Oreochromis niloticus: one gene and its partner. The protein of the gene in region 1 binds, or shares a complex with, the protein of each later gene. Links are inferred from orthologs where the notes say so. Each region holds a gene or a part of one and is shown on either strand. Other genes may lie near its edges.

Region 1 (7,265 bases):
GGTTTAATTTGCTGGAGCAGCAGTTCACTGGTAATCTGCACCACCAGTAGATGGATTCCTCACAGTGGAATTCTTTATTTTAAATATTTTAAGCCTTTTCTAAACATTTCTTGTAACCTAACAAACTTATCTGGAGGCCCACTGGAGCTGTTTCAGTACTGGCATAATGACACCACAACCTTAAATATAAAGACCACTGGACTCCAGATGTGAAATATTTAGACAGCTTTTTACAAAAAATAAGGTTCCAATCATTGGCACCCCTGTGACTGAATCTATATATTTGAAAATGTATTAAATATAGAGGAATACCTACTTTTTATTTACTTTTTATCTAATTTAATTTACAAAAATAACTTTAAAATTTAAAGGTTTTAATGTGGCACCTCTGTTGGTATTGTCAAATGAATGTGATGTAGTTATTTTTCACATGACTGAACCCATGTTAGCAAAAAACATGTAATTTGTGCAATTCCAAGAAAAACTTGATTTTTTTTTCTTTTTTTTGTGGTAAATTGCAGCAGAAATGAAGAGCACGCAATAACTGCATGTTTGTTTTTGTTAACAGTTAACGACTAATGGTTAACTGACTTTGCTTTTATGGTGATTCACAGTAATTTAATGGTTTGATATAAAAAAAACATTTGTTTACTGGTTAAATGTGGCTCATCACTGTCATTGTGCATTAATATTAATGTACGTTTTGTTCCTAAAAGGACATTTACTGAGCGTCTTATTCATTCACCAACATCACAACTGTTATTTGTTGATATTGTGACCATCACTGGCAGCAATCCTGCAGGCATTTGTGACGTGTTATAGCATAGATTTATTAGAAATATAAACTATTATTAAATAACATTATTATTAAAACATTTTGTCAACTTTTACCTTGGAGCAAATTCATCTATGGTTAAACCTGCTTTCAGTCCAGTGCGGCAGTACTCCAGGCCGTTAGCAATGGTGTAGGCTACTTCCAAGATGGCATCAGCGCCGGCCTCCTGAAGATGGTAGCCACTGATGGATATGGAGTTGAACTTAGGCATGTGCTGTGAACATGACCGTGGTAGTAAATCAGTTACACTGTGTTCAACAGCACCAGAAAAAAGGTTTCATTAAACCTGTGCTGGTACATACCTTAGAGGTATATGCAAAGATGTCTGCAATGGCGTGCATGGAAGGTTCCGGGGGGAAAATATAGGTGTTGCGCACCATAAATTCCTTCAAAATATCATTTTGAATCGTGCCAGTTAGTTTCTCTTTTGGAACGCCCTGCTCCTCTCCGGTGACAATAAACATTGCCAACACAGGGATAACTGCTCCATTCATAGTCATTGAAACAGACATCTTCTCCAATGGGATTCCATCAAAGAGCAACTTCATGTCCTCAACTGTATCTATAGCCACTCCAGCCATGCCCACATCTCCGTGGACCCTGGGGTTGTCCGAGTCATAACCACGGTGTGTCGGGAGGTCAAAGGCCACAGAAAGACCCTGCTGACCAGCTGAAACGAGAGGGTCAAAGAGTAGCGTAATAATTATTTCAACGCAAGTCTGGCAGAAATGTGAAAAACTTAGACCACAACAAAACCTACCCTTTATGTTGTCTTTATAGAACTTATTGCTCTCCTCAACAGTGCTGAATCCAGCATACTGCCTGATAGTCCAAGGTCTGTATGTGTACATGGTGGGATAGGGCCCTCTAGTGTAAGGAAACACTCCTGGCAACTCATCAACAACATCTTTTGAGTCTGCTTTGGTGTACACGGGCTTGATGTTAATCCCCTCGGGAGTGTGCCAGATCAGATCTTCTGGGTTCTTCCCCTTCAGCTGTTTCTTAGCCAGACCGGCCCATTCAGAATGCAGCTCAGAACGGTCCTGACAGGGTACTGAAGTATGGATCAGAGAGCAGTGTGTGAGGGATGAGGAGACTGAAGTTCTAACCAGGTGCCGGGCAGCCATTGCTGCACATGCCCTCTGTGCGGTCAGCATGCTTACTGTTGGCTTAATCACTCACACATGGAAAAACCTGGAGGCAGAAGAGAAAAAGCTGCTCAAATCAGCAGTTGTAGTAGGTTGGAACAATCTGGCAATTTCCAGTTAATGACTAATTAAATCTGTTTGACAGTTTAATACAAAACACAGCAGCAAGTGTCACTTGATAAACTAGAAATTTAAAGCTTACATGCAATGTTCTAATTTACTTGGGAAGATATTTTGCATGCATTGCTAGAGTTGCCTGTTTCATATCCTAAAGTGTTTTTGAAAGCAAATTAAATGATAATAAATTCATGTACTCAAACTTTATAGCAGATTGTAAGTGCAGGCTAGGTAGTCTGCAGTGATGTGGTTAAGTTTACAGAGATGGGCCGTGTTGGACGGTTGCAGGGCAGACCGAGGTATTGTGGTCACGGCTAGGTTTGGTCCTCGGTACCAGCAGAGACATTTACAAGAGAGAGATAGCAGTCAGTTCTAAAATGTAATTTATAAGATCATTTATATTTTAGGTTGAAAGTTATTGGTAGAAGTATAGCTACCAGGGGAGAAGCTTTTAAAATCTTATGTGTGCAAAGTTTGCAAACTTTTATGCAAATTGAATCAGATTTGACTGAATTATCTGCACATCAAGTTTTTATGGTTTGTTGACCTTTAAAATGCATTTCAATATGACTAAATCAAGTTAAGTAACAGGCGAGGGACACCTGCTCTTTCGTGGCGTATTTTAACGTACAGCTGATAAGAAATTAAAGAGAAGAAGAGAGAAGATGCTAACTAGTTATTAGCATAGTGGTAAAGAAACAAGCTGAACAAATACATGACAACATCACACTTTATCAAGTTACAAAACCACGCGGTGTTTAAGTCGCTGTGGTGGAATAAAACTAGAGACTTATATGAGAGCAATATGCAAAAAAAAAAAACAGACTAGGCTCGTTGCTAAGCTAAGTCAGCTAGCCGTAAAACGTTACCGAGCTGCACTCGTTTGCAATGGCGTAAACGTAAAAGCAAAACCGTGGTATACAACATGAGGCATATTGGTGCCTCGCGTGTTTAACAGTGAGTATTTTCAGAGATATTACAACAGAATTCTGACCTTGTCGTTTGTTTTCTTGTTCAGACTGATGACAGGCGTGTGTGCCTCTAGCCAATGGAGTTTGACAACAGAGACAGTCAGCCAATCGGTTGCGAGAATCAACTGCAGTACCCTTTGACCTATTACACCGGAAACACATGTTACAGCAAAGATATTTGACTGTCGTAGAGATGAGCGACACAAACAGTTGTTAGTATATGTGTATATTTCATTTGCTTTATTGAGTTATTCAGCTATTGATGTGGTTTTAATTGTAGTAAACAATTAGCACATACAGTTACCTTCATGGGATTGATACATATTTTTTATAGTGACCACCCTTATTCCCTGTTTTGTCAAAGCTAAGACTGAGAATTCATGTTTATTATTATTATTATTAGAGATTTCAGGAAAATTCAAAGTGATGCGGTGGGAAATACTGATAAAAAAAAACAGACGTGCAATGACTGCATATACTTAAAACCCATAGTTAAATAAAAAGTGGTAACAACATATCACGTTTTGAAACTGAGATAAAATACATGGACAAATCAGATAGTGATGTATCTCTATATTAGTTCATCCCAAAAATGCTAGATGGGGTTGAATTCTTCCACACCATACTTAACTAACCACACCTTTATGGATCTTGGTTTGTGCATTGCGGCAGTCACGCTGGGACAGAAAAAGAGCCTCCCAAAACTGGTCCCATAAAGTTAAAACATTTGTATTCATCTGAAAACCTCAATTTCTGGCCTGATGGCCATTAAATACAGGTTTTACAGGCCTTCTCCCCTGTATACAGATTTCTTGGCACACCAAGGATCTTTTTCTTGCAAAGAAATTGTATCCTTAAATGGAATAAGTATTAGTTTACTGTGTGTTTCTTGAAGTGATGAAGTCCTCCACATCTTGTCGTCTGAAAGCGAGATTCCAGATGTGAGTAAATGCATGGTTTACTTATTTTACAAATAATTCGATTACGGTTTCATAAAAATTTAACACACCATGTGAACTGGTAAACAGGTGCCTCTGGAGGTAGCGATCAGTCACTCACAAATCACACAAAGGACACAGACTTTTTAACATGGTGCATGCCACTTTATTCAAGAGTTGGTCAATAAACTGTCATAGTAGCAATGGCTCTTAAAGACTTCTGTACAGTATTGATTGGGTTCGATTTTATAGGGTACACTTGCAGTAAATGTTCACAAGGATTATAAAATATACCAAACACAGCAACATCATTCAGAGCATTCAGCAGGACAAGCCTTTTTTCAAAGTGGCGATGCAGACAGTGGTATATAATGCCCAGTAAATATACAGAGCAGACATTGTACTTTTAACCTATGTACCCTCCCCTCCACTGTTCGAACTGTAAGGCAATATATGTTTTGATTGCAATGTAGTACGGCTTTTCAAAGAGAACAGGGATCAACAAAATTTACAACATTAAATTAAGTTCAACAAAAAAAGCACGTGTAACAAACAAACCAAAATGTGTGTGTGTGTGTGTGTAAGAGTCTTGTACGACATGAACATTTTCTTGCAGCATCTAGCTCAAAACGATGGCAACAAAGCAGCGGAAGATGCGTTTAAATACCTAACTGAAGAAGAAAACGAAGGCTGTGAAAACAGAGAAACACAAGAGCGGGTGGCTGTGAGAGGCGACAGTCGGGTATGGTCTCCCGGTGGAAATGGGTTATGGTGAATGCAGCCCCATTAGCCTTCTACCTTTGCCTTCTACCCCATGCGTCACTCCAGCTTAAGCAGCTCCACATCAAAAATAAGGGTTGCGTTTGGTGGGATGACTCCGGGGTGGCCTGTTGTTCCATAAGCCATATCTGGTGTGCAGGTGATTTTAGCCCTCTGGCCCAGGCTCATCTGCAGCACAGGAGAAGAGGGGGGGAGGGGACAGCAGAACACACTGAGTATTGATGTGCATTTTCTTGTACTTTACGCCTACGCCCGAAAAGTCCCTTGTCACAGAACACAAAACACTTTTTGACTTGTAAATTAATACCCTATTCAAGTGTCCCAGTAAACAATAACAGTGTGACAGTTGGCAGGCAAACATAATACCAGGAACCTGAAACACAAGCAGATATTCGGAACTCAGGGTTTTTGTTTGCGTACTTTACCAAGAGGCCCGACCACAAGTAAAATATGAGATACTGCATAGTTTATTCTCCTTTCATAACAGATCTTGGTTTCTACTGTAAATGAGCACTTTCAAGCGGACAGCAATCAAGTCAGCTACTCAGCATTACATACACAACTGCAGAAAATAAGTAATCACAGAATCATCACGTAATATTTCACCCGGAGAGACATAAAAGTAAATTTTGGGGGTTTACCATCCTCCTCTTGCTCGTGCTTTTCCTCGGCACTGACATTTTCACCCAGTGAACAGAAGGTGACTCATAGCTATTTGATTTACGATTCAAGACCTGCAGTGCTTTCAGACAGTGAGCAGATTTACCCCCCTGCCCCCAACAACAGCAACAACAATGGTGTTCTCTAATCTGAATCAGTGGCAGCAGGATACAATGCATCTACGTCTCCCTGTACATGTCAGACTGCTGTTGCTGTTGATGCTGTGACTCCATTTGTCCTCATCTGTTTTCTCTAATTGAAAGCTCTGTAACTTGTAAATACCTCCACTGTTGTTTATATCTGTGTATTTTCTGTGGCTGCCATTATCATACAAGAGCTGAAGGAAGGAATTTGATAACGCTGAATCAATCTGAACTCCAATAGCTACAGTAGAATCTGTTTTACAGCCTCCCTCTCATTGCTGCTGACCACTGCAGTACATCTAAGCACAATTTTTTAAAAAACTGCAGTGGTGCACCTGTTCACTGTATGAGAGCACCTTCAGAATAGCAACTAACTGGTAGGTATGATCGATTAAAACCTGGCAGTATAAATGGATACTTAGAACATGGAATGCATAACGCGCTGCTTAATACTAGAAGACAAAACAAGCAGGGCCTCAACCTTCCTCTCTTACCTGTGCTACTCCTTCTTCCCAGCCTTTAATGACCTCGTTATGTCCAATCTTGAATTTGAAGGGCTTGTTCCTGTCTCGAGAGGAGTCGAACTTTTTCCCGTTCTGCAACATACCTGCCAAAGAAACATATGAAAACAAAATTTAGAGGCAAAATAAAGACAAAACTCAAAAGTGCATGGGCATAGTTAGCTACTGCAATAACCAGGAATGTTTCTGGTGGGACTTCTTGGGTCTGTTTCAACTACTCAAATGAACAGAGGAAATTTGAATCAGGAAGCACTGGCCTGGTTTAGTGGATTATTTTTAAAGTTAACTAGGCCATTGCTTAACTATATGTAGACCACAGTGAGCGAAAGGGGTAACAAAGGCAAAGCGGTGCGAGACTCAGCTCCTTCAGAACAATGACTGACCATTCAGGCATGACGGGGCTGTTGTTGCTGTGGCGGTTAAACTACTAAAGGCATGAAAACACTAAGTCATTTCATTAGCCACAATCTCAATCTCTGTTCTTCTACTTTGATAAGTCGTGAACTTTGGGAACCTTTGGCAGCCAGAAAAAAGCAACAGCAGTAAGGTCTTTAATGGTGTTTGTTATTTTCTCTGCACAGTCTATTGTCGTGGAACAGGAAACCTGTAACTGCAAACAAAGTTCAAATAACTGAGCTTAGAGATTCAGAGATTATACGATATAATGCAATGCCGTGCATTACCATTCAATATAATAATGTGTTTTATTTCAAGTAATTAGCATATGTAATCTAAGATTTTGTCCTCCATCCTCTAGAAATACAGATTAAAAGATTTTGTTTTTACATAAATAAATTAAATAATAAAAAATAATAATAATTCGCTATCACTTTGGAGGTTGTTCTGGTTATTTTATCTCTAGCCATAGTGTGAATACTTGGCATTTAAAGCTGGTGTTAGCTGAAGTTTAGTTACAGTGTCTTGCTCATCCAGTCATGAAAGTTGGTACTGTACTCCTTCTCCACTTTCATTCCCCCACTAAACTTAGAAGGTCCATCATTTCCAAGAAGTCCAGTAGCCCAGATATGAGCGGGCTGGGCCAGGTCCAGCTGCGGAGTCATCAGGTTCACACACCCTGGTGAATACCACCTGCTGCAGGGCATTCGAGTAGCAGAAACACAAAACCTTCTTGCAGAAAAGTCGTTTGAGTTT
Region 2 (7,570 bases), on another chromosome or scaffold:
GTATGCAGAATGTCTGAGTGACAGCAGTATCTTCGTCCAGAGTCGTAACTGCAATTATCACCACGGCTTCCATCCCACAACTGTATGCAAGATTCCCAGTGGCTGCAGCCTAAAGATTTTCAACAACCAGGAGTTCGCTGAGCTGCTGGCTCAGTCTGTCAACCACGGCTTTGAGGCCGTTTATGAGCTCACCAAGATGTGCACTATCCGCATGAGCTTTGTTAAGGTAGTCTGGTTTGAATTTTCCTTCTAAAAAATGTAAAGTTTTTGGACGATAGATGTTTAGCCTTTTACCTTTTAAAAAAGGTTTATATGGTCTATGGCAGCAGTTGTACAAACAGCTGAGCAGCCACACACACAGTATTTGTTTGATGCTGTGCAACATAATTCCAGTTAAGAATGAAACTATGTGCCTGCCTCTATTTTGTGGTAACACTGTATAATTTGACAGTTATAAATTAAATTCTCATAAAACTACAATAAATACACATTAATTTTTACAGATAATCTTTCATTTTAATGTCAGCCGATGGTCTTTCACAGCTGAAAGCAGATTTATTACACCATGAATTTTCTGTCATTCCACACTTAAACTATGCCCTGGTTTTAAAACTCAGAAGTTTTAAAAACAAGGCACTTTTTTAAGGTGAAAATTAATTTAAATGTGGTAAAACATCTATAATGAGACAGTCCAAAAATAATTAGTATTTTCCATTTTCTTTTAAATCCACCAACTTGTAAGAAAATAAAACCTGTGTTTTTGTGCTTTTCAGGGCTGGGGTGCAGAGTACCACCGCCAAGATGTGACCAGCACACCCTGCTGGATTGAGATTCACCTGCACGGCCCCCTGCAGTGGTTGGATAAGGTGCTGACTCAGATGGGCTCCCCTCACAACCCCATATCCTCCGTCTCCTAGGCTTCACTGTGCTCGGCCCCGTGGCTGTCCATACCCCAGCATTTTGGTTTAAGTAGCGAGAACAGGGGTTAGCTGGTGCCAGACTGGTTTGTGTTTGAGTCAGACTGTTTGAAGTTTTGACTGAAATACAAACTTTTCCGGGACCTTTGAGGTTGGGCGGGTTGTTAAATGGGTTTGTTCTCTACTTGAAGGATGTCTGAATTGGGCACATTTACAGACTGGGAGAGGAGTAAGCAAGGTGAGCGTGATGCAACTGGAAGATACTTGATCTCTGTGACCAACTGTAATAATTAGACCATCATACTCATATTGATGCAAGTATCCTCTTTGATCTTGTTCCCACAACATTTTTTTTCATCTTTCTACTATTCTGACTCATAACTAGTTTCCATTTAATTCTTCCCTCGGAAATCCTGATATACAAATGTAGTCACAATAATTTTGGGACATTCCAGGTCGCCGAAATGCAGTTGGTTTCTGTTTTCTGTCCAACTGCAGTCAGGTTGGCGTGAAATGTGCTTCTGAAATGTAAACTGTTAGCAGGAAAATGTTCATCTCCAGATATGTAAAGAAGTGTGCTGGGTTGTCAAAAATGTTTCTTAGGTTATAATAAGTGAGAGCAGTTAAAGTTATCTGTATAACAGCAACATAAAATCCGCTATTACAAGTACTGAAGAATAATATGAGGGCAAAATTAGGGCCGTTTGAGCATTTAGTGTAGGGTTTAGTGTGGTGCATGGCACTCAAAGGGCATTTCAGACATAAACAGTTTTAAGTGTTGCTCATCTTGTGTTTCAAATGAATTTTAAGAGGAAAAAACGGATAGTGTTTAGATATATTCACTATTAGATTATGTGCTGTGCAGTCTGGTTTTGCAAAGCCTAGTTTGGTTAGTGTAGTGTTACACATTTAAGACTGGTAGCTGAACATGAAATGAAGCGGAGGCAAACACAAGTACAGTGTAGTTTGTCCCCTGCTGTATTCTCTGCAGCTGAATCTTATGTGTCATGCAGAGTCGAGTCGCATTGAGGACATTAATATTTCAGTGACTGCGCCTCATCATCTTATTACATTGAGCAAAACGTGTTAAATGACTGTTATGGGAAAAAGTTGAGCATTCAGATTTTAATCATGACTGAGAAAAGGGTGTCAGCTACTGACTTCCCCAAATCCTTTTTTTTAAATAAAATGCAGATTTTTGCCATTCAATTATTTTTATGCTTTGAGCAATCCTGTTTGCTGTAAAACTATTATACTCTTTACATTCTTTTTGTATTTTTTGAACATTTTTAGTTTTGTTTGCACTTTCACATGTTGCCTCTTTGTTTTGGTTTTATTTTGTTTTCGCTCCCTCTGTCTGGTTTGCTCAGTAAAAACTCCCAGAAAAGCAGTTTTATTCCATGAATATCAAGTCTCTACTGGAAGAGTCAATAAATTTGTTTCATTACTTGCAATATTTCTGTCTCTTTCATGACCACTGTCTCTGCATGTTTGTCTTTGTGTGTCTCGGTTTAATTACAGGCCACCCATGCTAAGAAAATATGCATCATGTATTGTTGGGGACTTGCAGAAACAGCTGGTGTGTGTATGTGTGTGTGAGAGTACATGTGCTTGTACTTGTGTAGGGACATAAATCGTTGCACCCAGTCAGATTTTGGGGACAAACAGCAAATCCCCTCATTAATTATGTTTTTAATGAGTAGACTTGGTTTAAGGTAAGAGTTAGTCAAGTGGGAAATGAATGCAAGTCACTGTAATGTCCTCTGAAGTGATGGAAGAGCTCCTCCTGTGTTTGTATGTATATTTGGAAGTAGACCTTCAATTAGAAACGCACAATTACAAGAGCATGTCAAAGCCAACTGCACCAGTGTTAAGCATAATTGCATTTTCAAGTAAATTGCATGGAAATGCATAAAATAACCCCCCACCACACACAAACACACCTTTATTTAAGACGCATGTTGTGATGGCACTGTAACAACCTTCCAGGAAGGTCTTCTGGAAGTTGGTGACTGGATGGTTTGAGTGTAGCTGTTTCATTTGACTTTGTGATGTGGGTGGCATGGTTGCAGTGTGGTTAGTTCTGCCGCCTCCTACAAGGCTGCATGTTTCTTGTAGACTGCTCAGACGAGCATGTCAGGTGGAATAATCCCAGTGTTTTTCTAGCCTGACTGTCTCAGGCCTGCAGTGTACTCAGAATAAAAGTGAGTCTCTTCCGTATGAGATTGAAATGCAGACACACAACACTGTTTACAGAACTGAATTTAAATCATCACAACATACAGGCCCTGAAACCTCTTCATAAATGGCATTGTATAAATTATTATTGCTATATTTGAGCCAAACAGGAAAACTCGTTTTACTGTAGACCTTAAAAAACAGCAGGGATAAAATAATAGTTTAGTTTATTATAAGATGTATTTTTATAGATGATTATTTTCTCTCTAATTCTTATTTTGTTTCTCACTGGTATTGAGTCTCCAGCTCCTGTTACTGTGCTACATGTTTCCAAGTATTCAACACATCTTAGTTGTTTTAAGGCTTTTTGAACCAGCTTCTCCAGTCCCCCCCCCCCCCCTTTAATTGATTCTTTTTACCAGTAAAATGATAACAAATTGGTGTTTGTGATCAAATAAATTAAAAAAAGGCCTTTTTTTTTTTTCTTTTTTTTTAAAGTGAGTTGTCATTACTTTCACGTATGGTCCACTATTCAAGCTCCAGCAACACAGTGAAGAATGATAATGAGGTTCATACTGAATTCAGCTGTCTTTCTAAAACCCAGAGTTCTTTCGAGAGTACAATAAGCACAATCTTTGCACAACTTTAATAACAGTGAGAGCCCCATATTCACTATCATTTGTCAAGTATTTCCACTATCTCTTCTCTGCACATGTCCGAAACATCTCAGCCTTGCCTCCCAAAATCGCCTCCCAAGATCCATAGATACCAGTTAGGTGATCCTTGTTGAATAAGGGAGTTGCTTAAAATTAAATGAAGAATAAATGATTGGACAATCTAAATAAAGGCTAAGCTGAAAATAGGTTTAGTGCTTTTTGCTGCAAGGGGAAAAACGGTGGTGTCACTCACACCCTGAAGAAGACTGCTCCAAAGCCTGGGGCCACAGTGGTTAAAGGCTCGATCCATGCCGGAAATACTGACTAATTTAATTTAAAAACACATGCATGTATTATCAAGTTCGATTATTTTTAAAGGGAATTAATCCTGGAGTTGATAAGACGTGAAGGTTTAACATCTGCTGCCACCTGCTGGCTAAAATGGCCAACTGCCATATTTAAATTTTCATTTAACTACTTGCGTCTTTTATTTAAAAAAAAAAAAACACAAAACAAGAAAAAAAAATAAAGACGCGCATATTTAAACTTCTGTGGCACATTTTAGATGTATTTAGGAAACTTTTTACTTCCTAAATAAACCGGCGGAAATACTGCGGTGGGCGGTGTCAGACGTCAGCGGAAACGGAAGTGAATGAATGAAATGACGGCGATAGGTAACCTGTAACGTCTCCGTGCAACTGGGACGAGGTCAGAGTGAGTGTAGTTTTCACCTACTTTGTAGGTATTTTGTCCAAACTACGTCTTTAACAACTGCATTTAACGAGTACGTTACGTGCTGACGTTAGAAAGAATAAACATTAGCCTGACGGTGACTATTATAACTGCTGTAACTTAAACGGTGACGTTTGTAAGCACAGCTAACAAAACAAACCTCAGCTGGAAGTACCGCTGGTTAAATTAACTGTAAGCCTGTACGCCCTCCCAGACCACCCTACCTTTGACACATAATGAGACGGTTTAGCCTCTCTCTCCTCCGCCACATCTCCTCATCTACTGCCCTCGCTCTCACCGGGACGTGCCGCTTTCACAGAAGGCTCTGCTTCACTGCTTCACGCCCTCAGTACCGGAGCATCGTCCCGGCTCACAGCTGCCAGCAGACACGGACTGAAAGCACAGCAGCCAGCCAGCACATACAGGACCTGAGTGGGCCTGAGCAGAGACTGCTGAATAAACTTTATGATGGGCTGATCGGAGGACAGCGGGCGTCTTTGGCAGAGTGCATCACTCTGGTGGAGACCCAGCATCCCAGAAAGAAAGAGCTGGCTCAGGTGCTGCTGCAGAGGGTCCTGGCTTACAGGAGGGAGCAGGAGAACCGTAATGGAGGAAAGCCAGTGGCCTTCAGAGTAGGTGTGTAGGCTTAAGTCTGTGGTGGTTGTCTGAACTCAGTTTTTCCTGTCTCTAAGTGTCTTTGAACCTAAAATGTATTAAAATAAGTACATTTTAACTAAGGCTACTGCCATTGTGTGTGCATTTTAACCTACAGACCACAGTGGAGCTATAAAGGCACGAAACCTTCATATGAAGACTATTTTACAACTGAACAGCAGTGTTTCTGTTCAGGGGGGGAAATGAATTCTCTGAAATTTTCAGGCTTTGCAAAGCCATTCAGTGGGCTTATTAGGACCCTTTTGTGTTTTAATTCTGCCCCGGGGCCTTATGATTAACACACCTTGTAGTATAAACACGTCACCTGTGCAATGAATCCTTTATGAGACGGTTTCTGCAGCAGTGGCTCTGATGTTCTATGTCATGCAAAGAAATACAGTCACACAATTTCGCTTTCAAATTTCTTCAGACTTGACCCCAAAGTGAAGTGTGTGTTTAAAAAAAACCCTGCAGAGTTTAAAATTTTTAAATTTTAAACTCTGTGTTATTAAAGTTTTCAAAGCAGAAAGTAGAAACAATATTCAGATTTAACTGTGTAGTTACTTTAACACACAAATTGAAATTAGGTTAGTAGAAATCAGCTCTTGGGGCTGTTTGGTGCTATCCATTACAGTTTAACCTTTAAACTCCCTCCCACAAGAATCATGACTACCGTTTTTATGCAGATGATCCACAGTTGTACTTGTAACTTTCCGATAATGATCTAACCTCTGTTCACAAACTAATAAGCTGCATTAATGACCTTAACATGTGGATGTCTTAAAACCTTTTAGAACTGAGCAGAGACGAGACAGAAACACTTGACCAAAAAAGTCAGAGACAAAAATACTGTTCATATTTATCATTAATTTCTCTGAAACACAGTGAACAAGTCAGGCATCATTTTGGACAGTGATCTCACTTTTGATAACCAGATCAATAAGGTTACCTATCACTTATATCTAAAGTTAGAAATGACTATTTCAAACTGACTCCGTGCATTCATATCAAAAAGGTTAGATTATTGCAAAGTGCATCAACAGGACATCTTCAGCTTATCCAAAACATAGCAGCCAGAATCCTTACAGGTACATGGAAATTCGACCACATTACCCCAGTATTGAAGACCACTTCATTGGCTCTCATTACAATATAAAATCATTTCTGTAAGTTCACAAAGCTCTCAATGGTTTGGCCTTCCAGTACATGTCTGACAACCAAGTCAGACCTCTTAGGTCATCAGGTTCTTTTAACTGGTTCCACAATCAGATCCAAGTAACCTGAAGGTGCTTTCAGTAACTGTGCTCTGCGTCTTTGGAACAAGCTGCCTGCTCACTTGAGATCAATTACATCTGTGGGTACATTCAATAACCGACTGATGTAGTGGAATGTGCTACGTAAATAAAATTGTCATTGTTTGTTGCAAACTGACGAGGTCTCTTTGATTTCTCAGGTCTGTCTGGACCCCCCGGAGCAGGAAAGTCCTCCTTCATCGAGGTGGTGGGGAAGATGTTGACAGGACGTGGACATAAAGTTGCAGTGCTGGCTGTCGACCCATCCTCCTGCACCACTGGGGGTAACCTCTGACACGTTCATCACCTGCTTTTACTGTGGCACAGATGAACTATTATTATTTTGAGCTTTACAGTGCACAGGGAAATTTTATGTAATGTTTAAAGATGCTGGCTTCAGGTTCAGGGAATATCGTACTGTTTATATTACACTGTGTTTCAGACTGTTCCTTTCTGCTCTTGGTGTAAAGTCACTGAGCAGGGATCTCTTTAACACAGCCATTTCAGGTGCAGAGCCCCGCCCACCCGCTGTTCAAAATTGTTTGCAAAGGGCAGCAGAAAGTTGTCTAACACAGGGGGTGGCCTTAAAGAGAGAGAAGTTAAAATTGCTTGCTTCAAACGATTTATTTTCCATAAATGAATCAGGCTATTTTTATTTGAGAGAATATAAAATATAGAGCAGGAAACAAGCAGAATAGGTCCCCTTTGAATAGGCTGAAATCACTGAGCAATTACGAGCAGCACTGCACAGTAAAACTGCTGCCAAGTGACTCATCCCTCTTGCTGCAGGGTCTCTGATGGGCGATAAGACTCGTATGACTGAGCTCTCAAGAGACATGAACGCCTTCATCAGGCCATCGCCGACCTCGGGAACACTCGGAGGTGTCACCAGAACAACCAACGAGGCCATTGTTCTCTGCGAGGGAGCAGGTTACGACATCGTCCTTGTGGAGACTGTAGGTAAGATGCTGTGACGTGAACCCTCGGAGTAAGTGCGTTAAAGCCATAATCTCAGCTTTACCGTTTAGCTGATAGTGTCAGCAAGTATTTGTTCTTCTGCTTGTACTAAGTTTTTTTAATGCAAACATAATTTGTTCAGTGTGAGGTCTGATAGCAGCACCAGTCATCAGGCACCTGCTCT

What was found.
Region 2: the proteins of mmut (region 1) and mmaa are in contact, whole or in part, in a crystal structure (PDB 8GJU), measured with the Homo sapiens proteins. The link is inferred for Oreochromis niloticus from reciprocal best matches to the Homo sapiens genes MMUT and MMAA. Residues at the interface, in NP_000246.2 of Homo sapiens: Lys496, Glu609, Arg610, Glu611, Gly612, Arg613, Arg614, Arg616, Ala635, Thr636, Ala639, Asp640, Gly642, Phe643, Asp644, Val645, Asp646, Ile647, Gly648, Pro649, Leu650, Phe651, Gln652, Glu656, Gln659, Gln660, Val662, Asp663, Ala664, Asp665; in NP_001362573.1 of Homo sapiens: Arg98, Ala99, Ala102, Glu103, Thr106, Glu109, Ser110, Thr111, His112, Ser182, Ser186, Gly187, Gly188, Ser189, Leu190, Leu191, Lys194, Thr195, Met197, Thr198, Ser201, Arg202, Met204, Tyr207, Ile208, Arg209, Pro210, Ser211, Pro212, Arg214.

Annotation. Positions count from the first base shown.
Region 1 is NC_031980.2:3,621,779-3,629,043, forward strand, and holds the start of mmut (methylmalonyl-CoA mutase, mitochondrial), read right to left. Parts: upstream 3,220-7,265; 5' UTR 3,095-3,219; intron 2,994-3,094; exon of another isoform or gene 2,970-2,993; intron 2,030-2,969; 5' UTR 1,993-2,029; coding exon 1,596-1,992; intron 1,506-1,595; coding exon 1,138-1,505; intron 1,050-1,137; coding exon 892-1,049; intron 1-891. Other genes in the region: peptidyl-prolyl cis-trans isomerase FKBP1B, read right to left, coding at 4,829-4,957, 6,087-6,199. UniProt on the Homo sapiens protein: Catalyzes the reversible isomerization of methylmalonyl-CoA (MMCoA) (generated from branched-chain amino acid metabolism and degradation of dietary odd chain fatty acids and cholesterol) to succinyl-CoA (3-carboxypropionyl-CoA), a key intermediate of the tricarboxylic acid cycle.
Region 2 is NC_031971.2:16,404,854-16,412,423, reverse strand, and holds the start of mmaa (methylmalonic aciduria type A protein, mitochondrial), read left to right. Parts: upstream 1-4,361; 5' UTR 4,362-4,465; exon of another isoform or gene 4,466-4,697; 5' UTR 4,698-4,719; coding exon 4,720-5,119; intron 5,120-6,590; coding exon 6,591-6,713; intron 6,714-7,218; coding exon 7,219-7,389; intron 7,390-7,570. Other genes in the region: smad1 (mothers against decapentaplegic homolog 1), read left to right, coding at 1-226, 774-917. UniProt on the Homo sapiens protein: GTPase, binds and hydrolyzes GTP. Involved in intracellular vitamin B12 metabolism, mediates the transport of cobalamin (Cbl) into mitochondria for the final steps of adenosylcobalamin (AdoCbl) synthesis.